2 linked regions of the Struthio camelus genome follow. The protein of the gene in region 1 interacts with the protein of each later gene in a biochemical or structural test. Links are inferred from orthologs where the notes say so. Each region holds a gene or a part of one and is shown in the gene's direction. Other genes may lie near its edges.

Region 1 (7,651 bases):
CGTGGAGAATTTGCTTCTGATCGCTTACTGTCATCCTAGGAGGGTTGGTGCGCTACTCATGAGAGGGAGAAGATTGGTAGTCGCGGAATACACTGGTTTACCTGTTACTGAAGGTAAGGAGAATCTGATTTTTAAAAAACAAAGCAGTGCAACCATTGTACTCTTTCAAAAACACAACAAAATGCTTCATCAGCCTTAATTTTAGCTTGTTTTTACAGAACCTGTATTTTATGCAAAATTTTAGTTTTAGTGCTCTTTAACGCAAGTTGCAGAGTGTCTGCAAAAGAACTTGTAGCGCTCCAAAATTAAATGAAGAGGATGCCGAGGTGCTGGCAGTAGTAACAATCATTTAAAGCAAACTAAAAATACTGTCATACTAACGATAACTATCTTGGGCTTTCCTTGTGCAACCCCTTTTTGCCCCAACCTGATTATTATAACTAGCCGGTAGTTGTTTCAGGTTAAGTTGAAAGATTTGGATTTTCAAGTTTCAAAGTGCATTCTGCTTCTTGATTTCAAGGAAGGGCAAGGGCTTTGATGCCTTTTAGAAATTTGGCCCTGAGTTTTCCAGGGGCAGAAATTACTAGCTACTGAAAGGAGGAAGCATCCTGTGAAGGGAGTATGTGGCAATATAGCTGAAGGTTGTATCGTTATGTCAGGGTGTCAGTTAAGGCTGCATAAGAAATCTTAATTCTGCCTGTAACTTCTGACTGCTTGGCTGTGCAACTGTCCTGTGGCTGTAACACGGTTTACAATGCCATTTCCTAAAAGGTTACTAAAAAGAGGATTTTATTAAGGGTAACTACGTTGACTCCGATTTCTGCCTCAGTCCTCCCTGTACAGCTATTTCTAAATCACTTTTCAGCTACGCTGAGTATCACATAGTGCAGACTCAAGCAGAGTGAAATGATCGATATTGTAATGGACTTCTCGTCGTAGTACATGACAGAAATAATAAATGTCATGATATATGACAATCCTTGTAAAGCCCTATGGAGCCAAACGGGACGCAGAAAGCATCTATCTTCCACTTCCTACCCTTGTTTTGCCTCTCTGTGTCTGTTCTTTGTTTCCTCCCACATTTATTTCCTTGGTAATGGAAAACTGTAATTGAATTAAAAGCGACTCTGTCCGCGCAAGGGCTGCCGTGGCTGCGCCGTTCGCCTTCGACAGGACGGGGTGGAGGCCTGCGAGCGCGGGCTGCCCTGCGAGCTGCCGAGTGCTGCGCCCAGCAGGTTTCCAGCTGGTTTGCACAAGCAGTCGGGTACCGCCGTTGGCACTACATCAGGTAAGCGCACGTGCAAACGGCTGCAGCCTCTTTTGCTGTCGCTGTGCGTTATTCACCCGTCCACTCCAGTCTGTTTGCCATTGAGATCGGGCCAAAACTACGTTTTAAATTTTGATACCGGTTCCGATTTTCAAGCCAAATCAAACAAACGTCTTATCTGTGTCAGTACAGCTCCTCTTGGCTGAAACAGCTGATCAAATAGTGATGCCTGTGCTCTGCCAGTGATACCAGCTGCCACACTCGATGAGCTTTTCTGCCTCTGCTGCTTCGCAGATGCCTGCACCTTCCCTATCCGGGACTGCCAAACTGCCACTCTTCCTACGTTAAAGTCCACCCTTAGAATTAATTGCTTCTAAAAGATAATAAGAAATGAACCAAACTAAAGGTCAGAAAATGAAATAAGCACTGTTCCCTCTCTCGTTTCCTAAGGAGATTTTAAGAGGAGTAAATTGGAAGGATTGTCCGTGATGCTTTTGTGATCGCTCTGTTCTTATCCCGAAAACTGACTCGGGTGTGCTGTTTGAGCCACGTTCAGCTGAATGCCAGAGGTCTCAGATTCCTGCAAGTTCCATACAAACGGCTGGCTGAGCACAGGTGAGGGAAACGGTCTTTTTTTGGACCTGCAGAAAAAAGTGAGTTCATCTCTAGACACTAGAGAAACCACACAGTACAGAGTGGTTTGAAGTGCCCTAATCAGGAAGTTTCTGGGGGAGATGCCACCTTATCAGACACCAGCTGGGAAACACAAGTCCCTAGGAAAGCAACCTGCATCAGTTCTTCTGTCCACAGACAGCTTGTTCTGTTTATCTTTTGATACTTGGGCCCTTTTTAAGATTAGAGTTTTTCCGTACCGTCGTGAGGGCTGTCTCTCTGTTTGGAATTCACCTCCTGGCTTTAATCTCAGGATGCTGATAATGGGAGCTTTACGCCCAAAATTATTACTCCTAGTAAAAACTCAAGAGTGGCAACACTGCATCTTCGGCGTGGCAGTTCTTCAGTCTGCTGTGCCATGGTAGCAGAGGCCACGAAGAAGGCTACTTCCTTCTAATACCAAGCCACGAACTTAGAAATGACAGGGAAAAGACTGTATTGTCCTTGAAATCTTTCTCCACCTCCCTGAGGATTTATGCTCCTTCAACACCTTTTCTTTGGCTTTGTTACCAATTTAAAGAAACTGTGCCTCCTCGTGGAGAACCTTCCCTGTTTTCATTCACCATCTATCTCCTAATGAACGCTTAAACAAAATTATAAGATTAGACACAACTGTGGACTGCCCTTATCTTACATTCATACAGAGCAAAGCATCTCCCTGGTGTTTATGTTTTCAAACACTTGTCTTCATCCTTTCCCTCCTGATGTTAAAAATGTCTCTCAAGCTCTTAAATTTGGCATTGTAATAGAAAACAGATGCAAACCTAACTAATTAAGTCTTACTTGTACCAAACTTAACTAATTAAGTCTTACTTGTACCAGATCAGTGATATGTTAGATAATTCTGCATTTCCATGTCCGTGTAATGAGATATGTTGATCGGGCGCACTTACGTTCTCTTAACTGTTACCTGCAGTTGCCTCAGGAGCGTTCATGGTGTGTCCCGTGGCACATTCAGAGGCGAACACTGTTGCACGTGGCAAACGCGACTGTAGGGTACAATGAGCTGCGTGGGCCAGTGAACTCTTAGGAAACAAAGATGCAGCAGGGAAGGAAAAACTACTTGTGAAAAAGAATACATCAAGAGGAACGCAGAATATGGGCCGAAGCAAAATGCAGTGCCCCACACCTGTTATAGAAGTGTCCATGCTCCTGTCACCTCTTCCCTGTTCCCAGCATGAGTTCCCCATTAACAGATGCATCTGGCTTAAAGTCTTTGCCCTGATACAGTTCTTTTTTTTCTGACACGAACTTAGTGTCTGGAGAGATGATTCTGGTCCCATACCCACAATATCCACATACATGTTCCACTGGAACAATAAACCTGTTATGCAACTCAGGAATGCTCACAGAGCTTTCGTAGGAGCTGAAACCAGGCTCAAAACAGGGCAAAACTTTGTTTTGACTTGACATCCACCAGTGTGTTATTTCTCTGTCTATATATGATGCACAGTTTGCAAATTAACCAATGTTTCTACTGTAGGATGCAAAAGAAGAAAGAGAAATAAAAATGACTGTTAGTTTCTCTGGTTTTGCTTAAAAGCCCTTAATTGTCACATCCTACAACTGTGCCACCATGTATTTAAATAAAGAGTAAGAGCTGGTAGGAAATTGAGAAGAGAAACAGAAAAAAAACCCCATAATTTTTACTTGTATCAGCATTTCCAAATCAGCTGTAGCTAGCATTTGTTAGTTACTGCACCGTAGCAAACTAGCCCTCCCTTAACGTGACTTGGGGGTGCTGCGTTGAGCAGGGTGTTGGACCAGATGATGCCAGAGGTCTCTTCCCAACTAAACCATTCTGATTCTAGAAGAGGGTGCTCACAGTGACCTCCCAGGGCCCAAATCTCCCATCCTCAGTCACAGGGTAAAAAGCACGACTATCTACGCTTGTACCTTTTTTTTTTTTCCACACAGAAGCTGATTTCATTCTTACTGTTATTTTAGTTATCCTGTGGCAATCCACCTGACAAAACCTTAGTTTCCCCAAGCAGTTTTAATGTTAACGTGACTGTCGGGGCCTTTATCCTGGGAAGCCTGTGGCTTAAGTAACCTCACATTTGGAAAACAAATTGTATTCTGCACCAGAATATGAGACCTTGCATCCCAAAATAAGCTGACTGCGTACGTGCTGTAGATATATACCGTTTTTCAAAGAGGGGGCGAGCTTTGCGGGAGGCTAAGGAAGAAGGTGAACGCCACATTTTGGCATGTAAGCGCCGCTGTAAAATAACCATGTCGATTCTTCGTTGTTTCGTTTTCTGCCTTTATGAATACTGCTGTTATGTATTACACGTTTCAGTCACTGCAGACACCCGGGCGATGTGAGGCTATATGCTTTTATCCCATCAAATGCCGGCCCCGGCGGAGCTCCCCGCACACTGCCGCCGCCGCCTGGCCCCGGCTGCGCGGCCGGCGCGCGGCAGCCCCCGCCTACGCGGGTACGAAGGCCGGCAGGGAGCTACGCGAGCCACCGCGCGGCTGCCTCGTTGGCGACGGCAGGTTTCGTTCGCAGGCCAACGCCTCACCCGCCGGCCGCCTCGGCCCCGCCACCATTTTGTGACCGCCGCAGCCCCCCGCCCAGCCCGCCCGCCGGCCGCGCGCGCGGGCGCCCGCCCCCCCCTCCCCCCAACGCCGCGCGGCGCCTGCGCAGTGGGGCGGCGGCGGCGGCGGGGAGGGGCGGGGCGCGGCGCGGCGCTCTCGCGAGAGCGCGCGGGCTATATCTGGGAGTGGGCGGGCGCGCGGCTTCCTTTAGTGCGCGTCCGCCCGCAGCACCGCATCCCGCCCCCGCGCCTCCCGCCCGAGCAGGCCCGAGAAGATGGAGGACAGCGCCATGGACATGGAGAGCATGGGCCCCCTGCGCCCGCAGACCTTTCTCTTCGGTAACGGCCCCCGCGGCGCCCCGCTCTCCCCTCCTCGCCCGGCCCCGGCCCCTGACGGCCGCCATCCGCTCCCTTAGGCCTCCGCTCCCCGCCTGGGCCGGGTGGGCGGCGGCGGCGGGGGGAGGGGGGGCGGGCTGGCAGCGGCGGCGAGGCCCGATGGGAGCCGCGGGCCTGCTGCGGCCCTCGGCGGTCGCCGCGGGGGGGGGGGGGAAACACCGTGGGGGGGGCGCCGGCCTCGGTGGGCCGCGCGCCGGCGTCCGTTGGCCGCGCGTCCGTTAGCCGCGCGCCGGCGTCCGTTAGCCGCGCGTTCGGCCGGCGCGCGCGCCCCACGTGGCGGGCCGCTGGCACGTGGCGGCGGCGGCCTGGCGGGGGCTGGCTTTTGTTGGCCCGCGCCCCCGCCGCCCGGCCCGGTCGCCGCTCGCCCGGCCGCTCGTCCCTTTCGGGACGCGGGCACGTTGCGTTGCGGGCGGCGCGGAGCCGGCGGGCGGCCCGAGCACATGGCGGCGCGGCGGGAGGTGGAGCACGTGGAGGGCGGCGGGCCGCCTTGCCCGCTGCCGGCCCGAGGGGAAGCCGGCCGACCCGCCCGCCCCACGCCTCGCCTCGCCGGGGGTGGCACATGGCCGGCGGCAGCGCGGGCAGTGCGCAGCGGCGCTGGAAGCCGCTGGTTTTGTAGCGGCTGGTCTTGGACGAAGTGTAATGGCTGACGCTGCGGGTAGGAGCTGCGTGGTAGGCCATGGGCCGGGACTCGCCTGGGGTTTTCCCCTCCCTACGCGTTTCTCTTGAGTTTCTTTGCACGCATGCAGTGGGGTTGGTTTTCTATGCAAATGCAGCACCATAAAGCAGAAAGCATTACACTTCTAAGTAACAAGTGGCTAGCAAGTACCTGTTCCTGAAAACAATAGTTTGCTTGCAACTTAATGATTTTTTTTTTTTACAGGCTGTGAGCTTAAAGCAGACAAGGAGTATCAGTTCAAGGTAGATGATGAAGAAAATGAGCATCAGTTATCTTTGAGAACGGCAAGTATTATCTACTTTTTAAGGTGCAAGCTTGAATTTTGTTTTTTGAGTAATAATATGCTACGTTATGAAAAGTGAGCTTTTGTAACATGTAAATTTGTTCCTTAAACATCTGTTCTGTCTGGCATTTGCAAGTGTTTTGAGTCAGTTTGCTAGATAACCTCTTATTAGGAACTGAACATCCCGTTTTACCTTGAAAATTCTCTATTGTTGTTTCATGGCTTATAGCAAGTGACACCAGGTTTTAAAAAAAAAGTTCTTTAAAAAAAATGAGTTCACAATAGGTCAGTAAATTTGCTAAAAGGGATGAGGGCAGGCCTATGTCTTCTGGTATCTCTGGTGCAACGGTTTAGATGCTGCAGGAGCAAAAGCAGGGATTGGATTTATATTTTTCACAGATGGGTGCGGACTGGGGAAACTTTACTTTGAAAACTTTTTCTTTGTGTTCCCCAAGCATTATAATACCAGTGCCTTTTTCCCCCAATCAGCAGCTAATGTTGCATCTAATTTGGAGGGGAAAAGGCTTTTATGTTCTGATACGTTTTTTGGTAGTGTTGTCCTCTTTTTAAGGATGTTATGGGAAACACTGTCTTTGATTCATACATTTAATCAGACAGAGCAGCTGCTCACTGAACAGGATACTCCTTGAAATCAAGGTGTGCATATTGAGAGTTCTTAAATATGTCCTTAGTTCTTTCTGCTGTCCCAGCAAGAAGGACACTGCACTTCTCTACTCTGGGCTAAGCATGCGACTTCTGTTTTGGTTAGCACAAACGTGACACAACTTCACAGGGAAGGGATTTAAACGTTGTCACATCTGTGTACTTTAGTCCAGCATTTAATAGCATGTGTATTTAATCACATTACATTGCAGTCGCATTTAATGTAGAGAGATGTCTTGATGACACTTCTAAATAAGTGAATTTTAGGATTCTAGAGTGCTTCCTACAGGAGTCCAGGATAACAATGGCTGCCTGAGTTAAAACTCATTCAAAGTAATACATAACACTTATGATGTTAATTTGAATATTGTAGTATTGTGTGAACTATGTTTATAGAGTCCTTGCAGTTTATGAAAAACACAATCTGGACTTGACGGTGACCACTTTGTACTTAATGGCCTTTTAGAATCTCTCTTGAGGGAAGAATACTGTAAAGTATGGGTAGGGCAAGTCGATGTGGATTGTTCTCATGCCTGCCTGTTTGTAGCACACATGAAATGAGCCACTGAATGATAACCTCAGTTGTGTGGGCTTATCCAAAGTTCCTAGTTTTGAAAATTACCGTCTCTTCCGGTTGCTGTGACCTCTTCATGGAGGATGAGGCAAATTGATGGACTTACAGCATCAGTACTTAGTTTTTGAGGTTGTGAGAGAAAAGGTCTAATTCAGAAAACTGCCTTTTAAAGTCAAAGGGAGGTAACCTGTCGGAGAGACAAGAAAGTTGAAATAACATGTGACAAACTGGGAATTTCTGAAAGGATTGGACATAGCTAGAAACAAAGAAAAATTGACATGGTAAGCAGAGCAAGGAGTTTTTGGAAGCTCAGGTATGAAGCTAGTGAATACTTGGTGACTGTGCTCTATGAACTTGATAAAACTAGATGAATAAAGATGCATACCTGTCAGTTACGCAAGTGTGGCAGGGGGCTTGGTATGAGATAGAAAAAAGGATAAAAGTGAAAGAGGAGGAGGATTGATGTATGTGGAGGTAGAAAGTGGCATGTGATGGTTTTCTTAAATGCCTGGTCTTAATGACAGCTGTGAACATGAAATGGTGACCATCCACTCTATTACCTCTTTATTGCTAGCAT
Region 2 (7,628 bases), on another chromosome or scaffold:
CGGAGCAGGGGATGGGGTGAAGGAGCCCAGGCTGCACCAGCAGGCCCGAGCGGGGATCGGGACGCCCCGCCGGTGGGGCGACAGTCAGCGATGCGTCTCCGTGGGCGCCCGCAGGCCGGCCGCGGCACTTCCACCATCGTCCCCAGCCGCTGCTGAAGGTCCCCACGGGAGTCAGAGCTGCTTTGCAGCCCCGCTGGATCGTGCCGGGCTCCCACAGCGCCGGAGCAGCCGACTTCCTGCCGCCCTGGCCGAGCCGGCTGCGAGCCAAACCTTCGGGGGGGTATCGCCCTCTGCTAGGGTTGCATATATATAATACGTGCATGCATATGGGGTTGTAGTCCACATATATAGAAGGGCAGCTCTGAGCCAGCAGGCGGGAGCAGTCGGTGCCCCCCTCCAAGTCCTCGGTCCTGGAGGCAGGGGATGAAAAGCAGTCGCTGTGATTTAAAGAGGAGGGGGGAAACAAAGCCGGCTTCTGCATCGGTGGGGAAACGAAGCCTCAGCCCCGACGCTCAGCGACCGGAAAGCCACCAGGGCCCCGCCACGGCCCCGTGCCCGGGGGCTCCCACCTCCTGACACTCTGCAAACCAAAGGCAGCGCCGACGGCGGTGCCCAGCCCCGCAAGACGGGTGACAGAGGCTCGTGCCCCAGGGGCGCTCAGCACCCAAGCAGCCTCGGCCGGCTCTCCGGCGCTGCCCCAGCACCGGGGTGCCCTTTGTGCCTGGAAAGAAGTGGCCAGATCTGCCCGGACCGAGCCAAGCATGTCAGGTGCTGCCTTGTTTTGAAAGCTCTGCCGGGAAGTCACCCATGGGACGGGACGGGACGGCCGTGGCATCACGGGGCTGGCGCCGGCCGCCTCTCCGCCCCGCTTGCCTCGGCTAGCACTGCGTTTCGCGCCCCGCTGGCGGCAGCCGGACCCGGGGGGCCGGCGCTCACCTCGGGCCCGGCCCCCAGCCGCGCCGCCGGGACGGACCACCGATGGGCGCCTGCCTCTTTGCAGCCCCTTTGGCGGGCCGACGCGGCTGCCAGCGCTTGCAAGCGGCTCCGCGGGGGGAGGCCCAGCGCCACGGCTCGCAGAGGCCCCAAGCGCGCCCGCTGCCCGGCCCCATCGCCTCCCAGCCAGCTCTAGGGAGAGAGAAATAGAGAGAGAGGGGTGGGGGGCACATGCCCCTGCCCGCTGCGCCGCCCGCATCGGGCGCTAGGGATGCGATGGGTGCAGCAGCGGGCTCTGCTTAAAAACAAGCAGCCCTCCACCGCTCTCGGCCCCCGTCTTTCCGCGAGGGCACCGCGGCCACGCACACTTCATCCCGCGCCAAGCGGCGGGCATCGCCCTGCAGACGCCTCTCCGCGGACGAAACGTCTCACCGCGGTGTCACACCGAGCAATTGCCCTTGCGCAAAGTCCCCGGGTCACTGCAGCAACCAGAATTACCTCCCGCTGCCCCCCAGCCTGCAAACGTGTGCTCCGAGCACCGACGTCACCCCCCCCCCGCCAAAATTCCCCATTTCTGGCCCAGTTTCCCCTCTCCAGGCCGGACAAAGCGCCTTCTGCACGCCGACGGCCTCAGCGGTGGGAGTCGAGCGGCGCCCGCCGGGGCGCGAAGCGACGGCCGCGTCTGTCCATCCGTCTGTCCGTCCCCCCCGGCGCCCCTCTCCGGTTACAGCCGTTTGCCGCCACCGCGGAATAAACAACGAGGGATATTAATAACGACAGCCCTTCGCCCAGGGGCGGAAATCAAATTCCTCGCCAGCTTGGCGGCGACGTCGGGGCTGCCGAGGGCGGGAGGCGCCGGGTCGGGCTTCGCCCTGGACCCCCGCGAGCTGCTGCGCGAGGCCGGAGGGTCGACACTGATTTGAGCTGGAAAAAAAACCCACAGGGCCTGGGGGCAAGGTCTCGGAGAGACGCCTCGGGGTCTCTCCTCGCCTCGGCGCCAGCAGACCCCCCGCGGGCGCCCGTCCCTGCCCCGAAGCCTTTCCCGGGCGCTGCCGGGCTCCGCTGCTCGGACCGCCGGCTTTTAGCCCGGCTGCCTTAAAGAAAAGCAAAAAAAACCCACCCCAATAACAACAACCATAAAAAAAAAGGGGGCAGTTTGTGCACGTGCGTCCGCCTGCCGGGGCCCTGCCGACCGCCTCGGAGCACGTTGGCCGATTTGCCACCGAACCCGCAGGGTCTCGGAGCACCACGAACCGCGAGAAGGGAAGGCACCGGGGCAGGGGGCCGCGGCCGGAGGTTTCTTTTTCGAAACGATCAGAAAGGCACACGGCTTTTATTGCATTTCACTTAGGAACAGTCAAGGCAGTTTGCAAAGGATTTTTAAAATCCCAGGAGCAACTAGCAAAGAGTACCAGAAGCCTTGCTGGTTTTGATTTTTTTTTTAATTTGCCTGTCACAAACCTTCCCCGCTGAAGAGCTTTTGCGCATGCTGCTACCTCTCCTTTTGTGCTTTACATTTTTAACTTTTTTTTTTTTAAATAAAAGCCTGAAACTTAAGTTCAATTTTCTCTAGTCTAAAGCTCAGCTCCTAACTCCAGATTTAGATCCTTTGTTGTGGGATTGTCAAAAGCGTATAAGCCAGAGTTTCTATTCAATTTGTGACTGGGATTTTTCATAGCAGTTGGGGGAACGTGGTGCAGTCCTGCAACTGAGACAATGCCGAGCCCTGGACTTCCTTAAAACAAAACAAACAAACCAACCACCATGAGATCCCAAATTATGTATATTCCTTGGAAAAAAAATGTTCCAATGCAAAAAGGGGACTAATTTCTGGAGTATTTGCCTACCGAGAGAGCTGATCTTGGCTCCTATTCCAAATTGACCCAATTCATTTCCAAAAGGGATCCAACGAATTGGGAATCAGGCCCTTTCACTCGGCAATAAGCGTGTGCACTCCAAGGAGCTGCATGAAACTCAGCTCCTCTCAGAGCTGCAGTCCCAGCCCGGCGCTGGGACCAGCCCACCGCACGCTTAAACCCCAGGAGAGCCTTGCTTTAGCAGCTCCAAATATCCCACCCCGCACCAGTCCATGCGGGGACTCACTTTTCCACACTGGGACTCACTTTTCCACATCAGCTTATTCCTGCAGCTTTGCAGAAAATCTGCGGCTTTGCAGAAAATGCCTCAAAACCCCTTCCAAATCCGGTCAGCCTCGGGGGCCCTAAAGATGCAGAAGCTGCCTCAGTGTCCAGGGGAAAACAGGCTGCCGGGGGCATCGCTAACCTCACCGGGGCCAGCAAAAGGAGATGCCGCGCACGCTCGCCTGCTTGGCGGTGGCGCAGGCCGCGCTGCGCTGGGCCGGCACCGCCGTTGCCTTGCCTTGGCCAGTGCTTTCGCCCATAGGGAGCCAAACATAAGGCTGGTTCTGCCACGCTGAGCAAGCCCACCCCAAGTGAGTCCACCCCGAGCACGCCCATGCTGAGCGAGCCCACCGGCTGCTGTTCACATCAAGTGAGTCCTCGGGGTGCTGCACAGACCAAGCGAACCTGCCCTGAGCAAGCCCACTGCGCGCTGCTCACCCCGAACGAGCCCGTGCTGAGCGAGCCCACTCCAGGTGAGCCCACCAAGCGCTGCTCATGGCAAGCGAGGCCACCCCAAGCGAACCTCCTGGGCGCTGCTCGTGCTGAGCGAGACAACCCCAAGGGAGCCCACCACGTGCTGCTCACAACAAGTGAGCCCACCCTGAGCGAGCCCACTGGCTACTGCACAGACCAAGCGAGCCCACCCTGAGCGAGCCCACCGCGTGCTGCTCACAGCAGGCAAGGCCACCTCAAGCGAGCCTCCTGGGTGCTGCTCCTGCCGAGCGAGCCCACCCCAAGGAAGCCCACCCAGTGCTGCTCAAATCAAGTGAGCCCACCTTGAGCAAGCCCACCCCGAGCGAGCCCACCCCGAGCGAGCCCACTGGGCACTGCTCATACCGGGTGAGCCCACCCTGAGGGAGCCCACCAAGTGCTGCTCACATCAGGCAAGCCCACCAGGCACTGCTCATGCCATGTGAGCCCACCAGGCGCTATTCACACCAAGCAAGCCCACCCCAAGGGAGCCCACCAAGTGCTGCCCACCCCGAGGGAGCCCACCAGCTGCTGCTCACATCAGGCGAGCCCACCCCGAGCAAGCCCACCGGGCGCTGCCCACATCATGTGAGCCCACCAAGCGCTGCCCACATCAGGCGAGCCCACCCGGAGGGAGCTCACCGGGCGCTGCCCGCCCACCGGCCAAGGCCCCCCCCGGCCCCCCCGCAGCCCTTTGAACCGACCTATCGCTCCCGGCCTCGGCGCCGCCCGCACCTCCCCCGGCCGTGATGCAGCCCGGCTCCTCCTCTCCCCTCTCCGCAAGGGCTGGAAGCTCCCCTTAGCCTGTTTGCCCTTATTTAATTTCGAGTGTGATTTTGCTATTTTTAGCAGCTGGATCCCCTCCAGTAAGGCTTGGAGCTCGCTCTTTTTTTTTTTTTTAATCCCCCCCCCTCTCTCCCTTCCTTTTTTTTTTTTTTTTTTTTCTCTCCGCTCCCTGCAAATGATTTTGACCCAGCTTCCTTCCTCCTGGAGCAATTTTTTTTTTTTATTATTTATATAAATAAGAGGGGGCCTGGCTGGGCTGTGGATGCGTGTGCGAGTCGCTGCCTCCCTCTCTGCCTTCTCCTTTCAGATCCGCATTTGCAACCAGCAGCAGCCAGGAGGGGGGTTGTTTTAATTCGCTCACAACACAGACACGCCAGGAGAAAAAAAAAAACAAAAAAAATCAAAAAAATCAAAAAAAAAAACCACCCCAAGCACCCAGCTCCGAGACCAAGCTGACTGTGAGTGCCGGCCTTCTCCTTTCCTTTCTCCTCCGGGGGGTGCGCAGGGAGGGCCGGGGCCGCCGGGGGGAGAGGGGGGGCTGGTTTGGGGAAGGGGCTCCCGGCACCCTCGGCATGCGGGGCGCAGTTGCCCCCGATCTTCTCTCCCTTTGCAAGGTCGCGTGTGCGTGCGTGCGGCGGGCCGGCTCGGCAATGCCCCTTCCCCCCCCCCCCCCGCTTCGTAATAATAATAATTATTGCTAAGGGCCGTGCACCTGATGGGCCCGGGGCGCCGCGCTGCCGCAGCCGCGCTGCCGGCTGCCAGCGGCGCCGCCGGACTTTTCCGCCACTTACTCGTTTTCGGGCGATGCGGCGCCGCGCTGGGGCTGCCCGCAAGCGCCCCGGCCCCGCGTGGGGGGCGGCCGCGGGCCGGGCTCGCGGCGGGCGTGGGGCCGGGAACCGTGCGTGGCGCCGCGTCCGGGGCCCGTGCAAGGTGCGTGGGGCCGGGAGCCGTGCATAGGGGCCAGGGCCTGTGCAAGGTGCGCGGGGCCGGGAATCCGTGCGTGGGGCCAGGCCCGGGGCCCGTGCAAAGTGCGTGGCGCCGGGAACCGTGCATGGGGCCACGGCCTGTGCAAGGTGCGTGGGGCCGGGGTAGGGGCGAGAGGCTGGGGTAGGGGGTGTGGAGCCAGGCCCGGGGCCCGTGCAAGGTGCGTGGGGGTCAGGGTAGGGTGGGTGGGGCCAGGTCCGGGCCCCGTGCAAGGTGCGTGGGGCCTGGATAGGGGGTGTGGGGCCAGGCCCGGGGCCCGTGCAAGGTGCGTGGGGATCAGGGTAGGGGATGTGGGGCCAGGCCCGGGGCCCGTGCAAGGTGCGTGGGGATCAGGGTAGGGGATGTGGGGCCAGGCCCGGGGCCCGTGCAAGGTGCGTGGGGGTCAGGGTAGGGTGCGTGGGGCCAGGTCCAGGCCCCGTGCAAGGTGTGTGGGGCCGGAGTAGGGTGCACGGGGCCCGGCCCCACGCGAGGTGCAAGGTGCGTGGGACTGGACCCACGCAGGGTGCTGGCCCGGTGGCAGCGCCGCAGGCCGGGCCCGGCTCGGGCAGGGACGCCCTTGGCTGGGGGGAGGAGGGGGGCAGCTCGGCCCCCCCGCACGCCGGGCCCGGCTGCGTGTGCAGCACCGAGCACGCCAACCTGCAACCCCCAACCGGGGAAGGCACCCCGGGGCGGGGGGGGGAAGGCACCACCAAAGGTTTTATTATACCCCGCAGGACCGGCTCTTCACAAAGCTTGGGATGTTGCCCTTCCTGCCTCTTTTCTTTCTGTCCCCCCTTCCCCACCTCCCTCCTTCCTTTCTTTTATCACTTCCTTTTATTATGCATGCCCAGGAAGGAAGGGGGGGGGGAGGTGCGCTCTCCTTAATAGCAGGGCCTGGGGGGGAGCGGGGGGGGGGGGGGTCTTCAAAGCAGCCCTGCCGAGGGCCTGTCCTAACGAGGGGCCGAGCACATCCCTCCCCTGCCCAACAGGCTCTTCAACTTCTTCCCGTCTCTTCCCTGGCCCGGCTCCTCGCCCCGCCGGGAGGTGCGGCCCGCATCCTCGGCCAGCTGCACGCAGGCTGGCTTTCCTGGGCGCGAAGAGGCTTTTTGAGATCTAAAGCCACCGCCTGTCTCCCTTGTTCTCCTGGGCTGGTTTGTTTAATCTAAGAGTAGGTGGCGGGAGCAGGGATTTATGGGGCTATTTGCACGCAGCGGCGTAAGGCAGCGCGGGCGGCTGGGGGAAGGACGCGGCAGGCCGGGGGCAGCCGGCAGCCTCGCTCCCAGGGGCCAGGTTGCCTCTTTTGCAACCTAATGGCATCTCGCCTAAGAGGTGGTTCCCGGCTGCTGAGAACGCCCAAGCTCGTGTCTGGGAGCAGGGAGAGACGGTGGGACTGGTGGAGGGGGGAGAAGTATTGCACGGAGGATAATTATCTGCAGGGATGGAGGGGGAAGGAGTTTTGCATCCTCCAACTCCATCGATCCGAAGGAAGATGGAGCCCCTCCACCTCCAAACCTGGCTGTGCAAGGATTTCTCCCTCCTCGCCCCTGGGCCTCGCCGCCCGTGCCCTCATCTCCCATCCTGCCCGAGCCGCCCATCCCCTGCCCTCGCCTCCTATGGATCCGTCCCCCTGGGGAAGGGTTTTCTCTCTCCAGCTACTTCCTCTCCTCCATGGCAACCCAGCTGCTCCCGCAGATACGGGTTTCACGGGCGCGAGCGCGGCCGGAGCTCCTTCCTGCGGCGCGCCGAGCATCGCGCCGGAGCTCGGACCGCTGCCACCCGCCAGGGCAGGATGCGCTCCCGGCAGACGGCTGCTGCCGGGGCCAGGAGCGTCTGCCTGCTCAGCACCATCCCCATCTCCCGCCTGGCTGCAGCACCACCCTATGTCACCCTGCGAGGGCAGGGTGGGAGCTGTCAGTCCTTCCGGGTGCTTTTAAGCCCCGGGGTCCCTCGGGAGACCTCGGCCCGGCCACGCGGTTTTGCAGCAAGGTGGCGGAGGGGACCGGCCCGACACATGTGCTGTTTCCCACGGCACCGGCAGCTTCGCCGTGCGCCGCTGGTGCCTCGAGCTCTCGGCGTGGGGGACGCCCCCGCTCCGGGCATCTCCCGGTCGGGGCCGCGGCGCTGTGCCATGCTGACGCCGGCGGCTCGGGAGCGGGACGGGAGCCCCGACTTCATGCTGTAGCGGGGCCGGGGCAGAGGAGCGAGCGCCGTGAGAGAGACATTGGGCCCATCTGTTTGCAGCTACGGGAGAGGGTGCAGCGCGGCGCTGAGCACGCGTTTCCTTGGCCGGAGATTGACGTAGCACCAGATTGACACCCCTCAGCTCCTGGTCAG

Evidence for each region.
Region 2: the proteins of NPM1 (region 1) and HMGA1 interact in far-western blotting, tested with the Homo sapiens proteins (2 studies listed by BioGRID). The link is inferred for Struthio camelus from reciprocal best matches to the Homo sapiens genes NPM1 and HMGA1.

Annotation. Positions count from the first base shown.
Region 1 is NC_090954.1:20,056,106-20,063,756, forward strand, and holds the start of NPM1 (nucleophosmin), read left to right. Parts: upstream 1-4,598; 5' UTR 4,599-4,757; coding exon 4,758-4,821; intron 4,822-5,758; coding exon 5,759-5,838; intron 5,839-7,651. UniProt on the Homo sapiens protein: Involved in diverse cellular processes such as ribosome biogenesis, centrosome duplication, protein chaperoning, histone assembly, cell proliferation, and regulation of tumor suppressors p53/TP53 and ARF.
Region 2 is NC_090965.1:5,620,764-5,628,391, reverse strand, and holds the start of HMGA1 (high mobility group protein HMG-I/HMG-Y), read left to right. Parts: upstream 1-4,324; 5' UTR 4,325-4,411; exon of another isoform or gene 4,412-4,638; 5' UTR 4,639-4,789; intron 4,790-7,628. UniProt on the Homo sapiens protein: HMG-I/Y bind preferentially to the minor groove of A+T rich regions in double-stranded DNA. It is suggested that these proteins could function in nucleosome phasing and in the 3'-end processing of mRNA transcripts.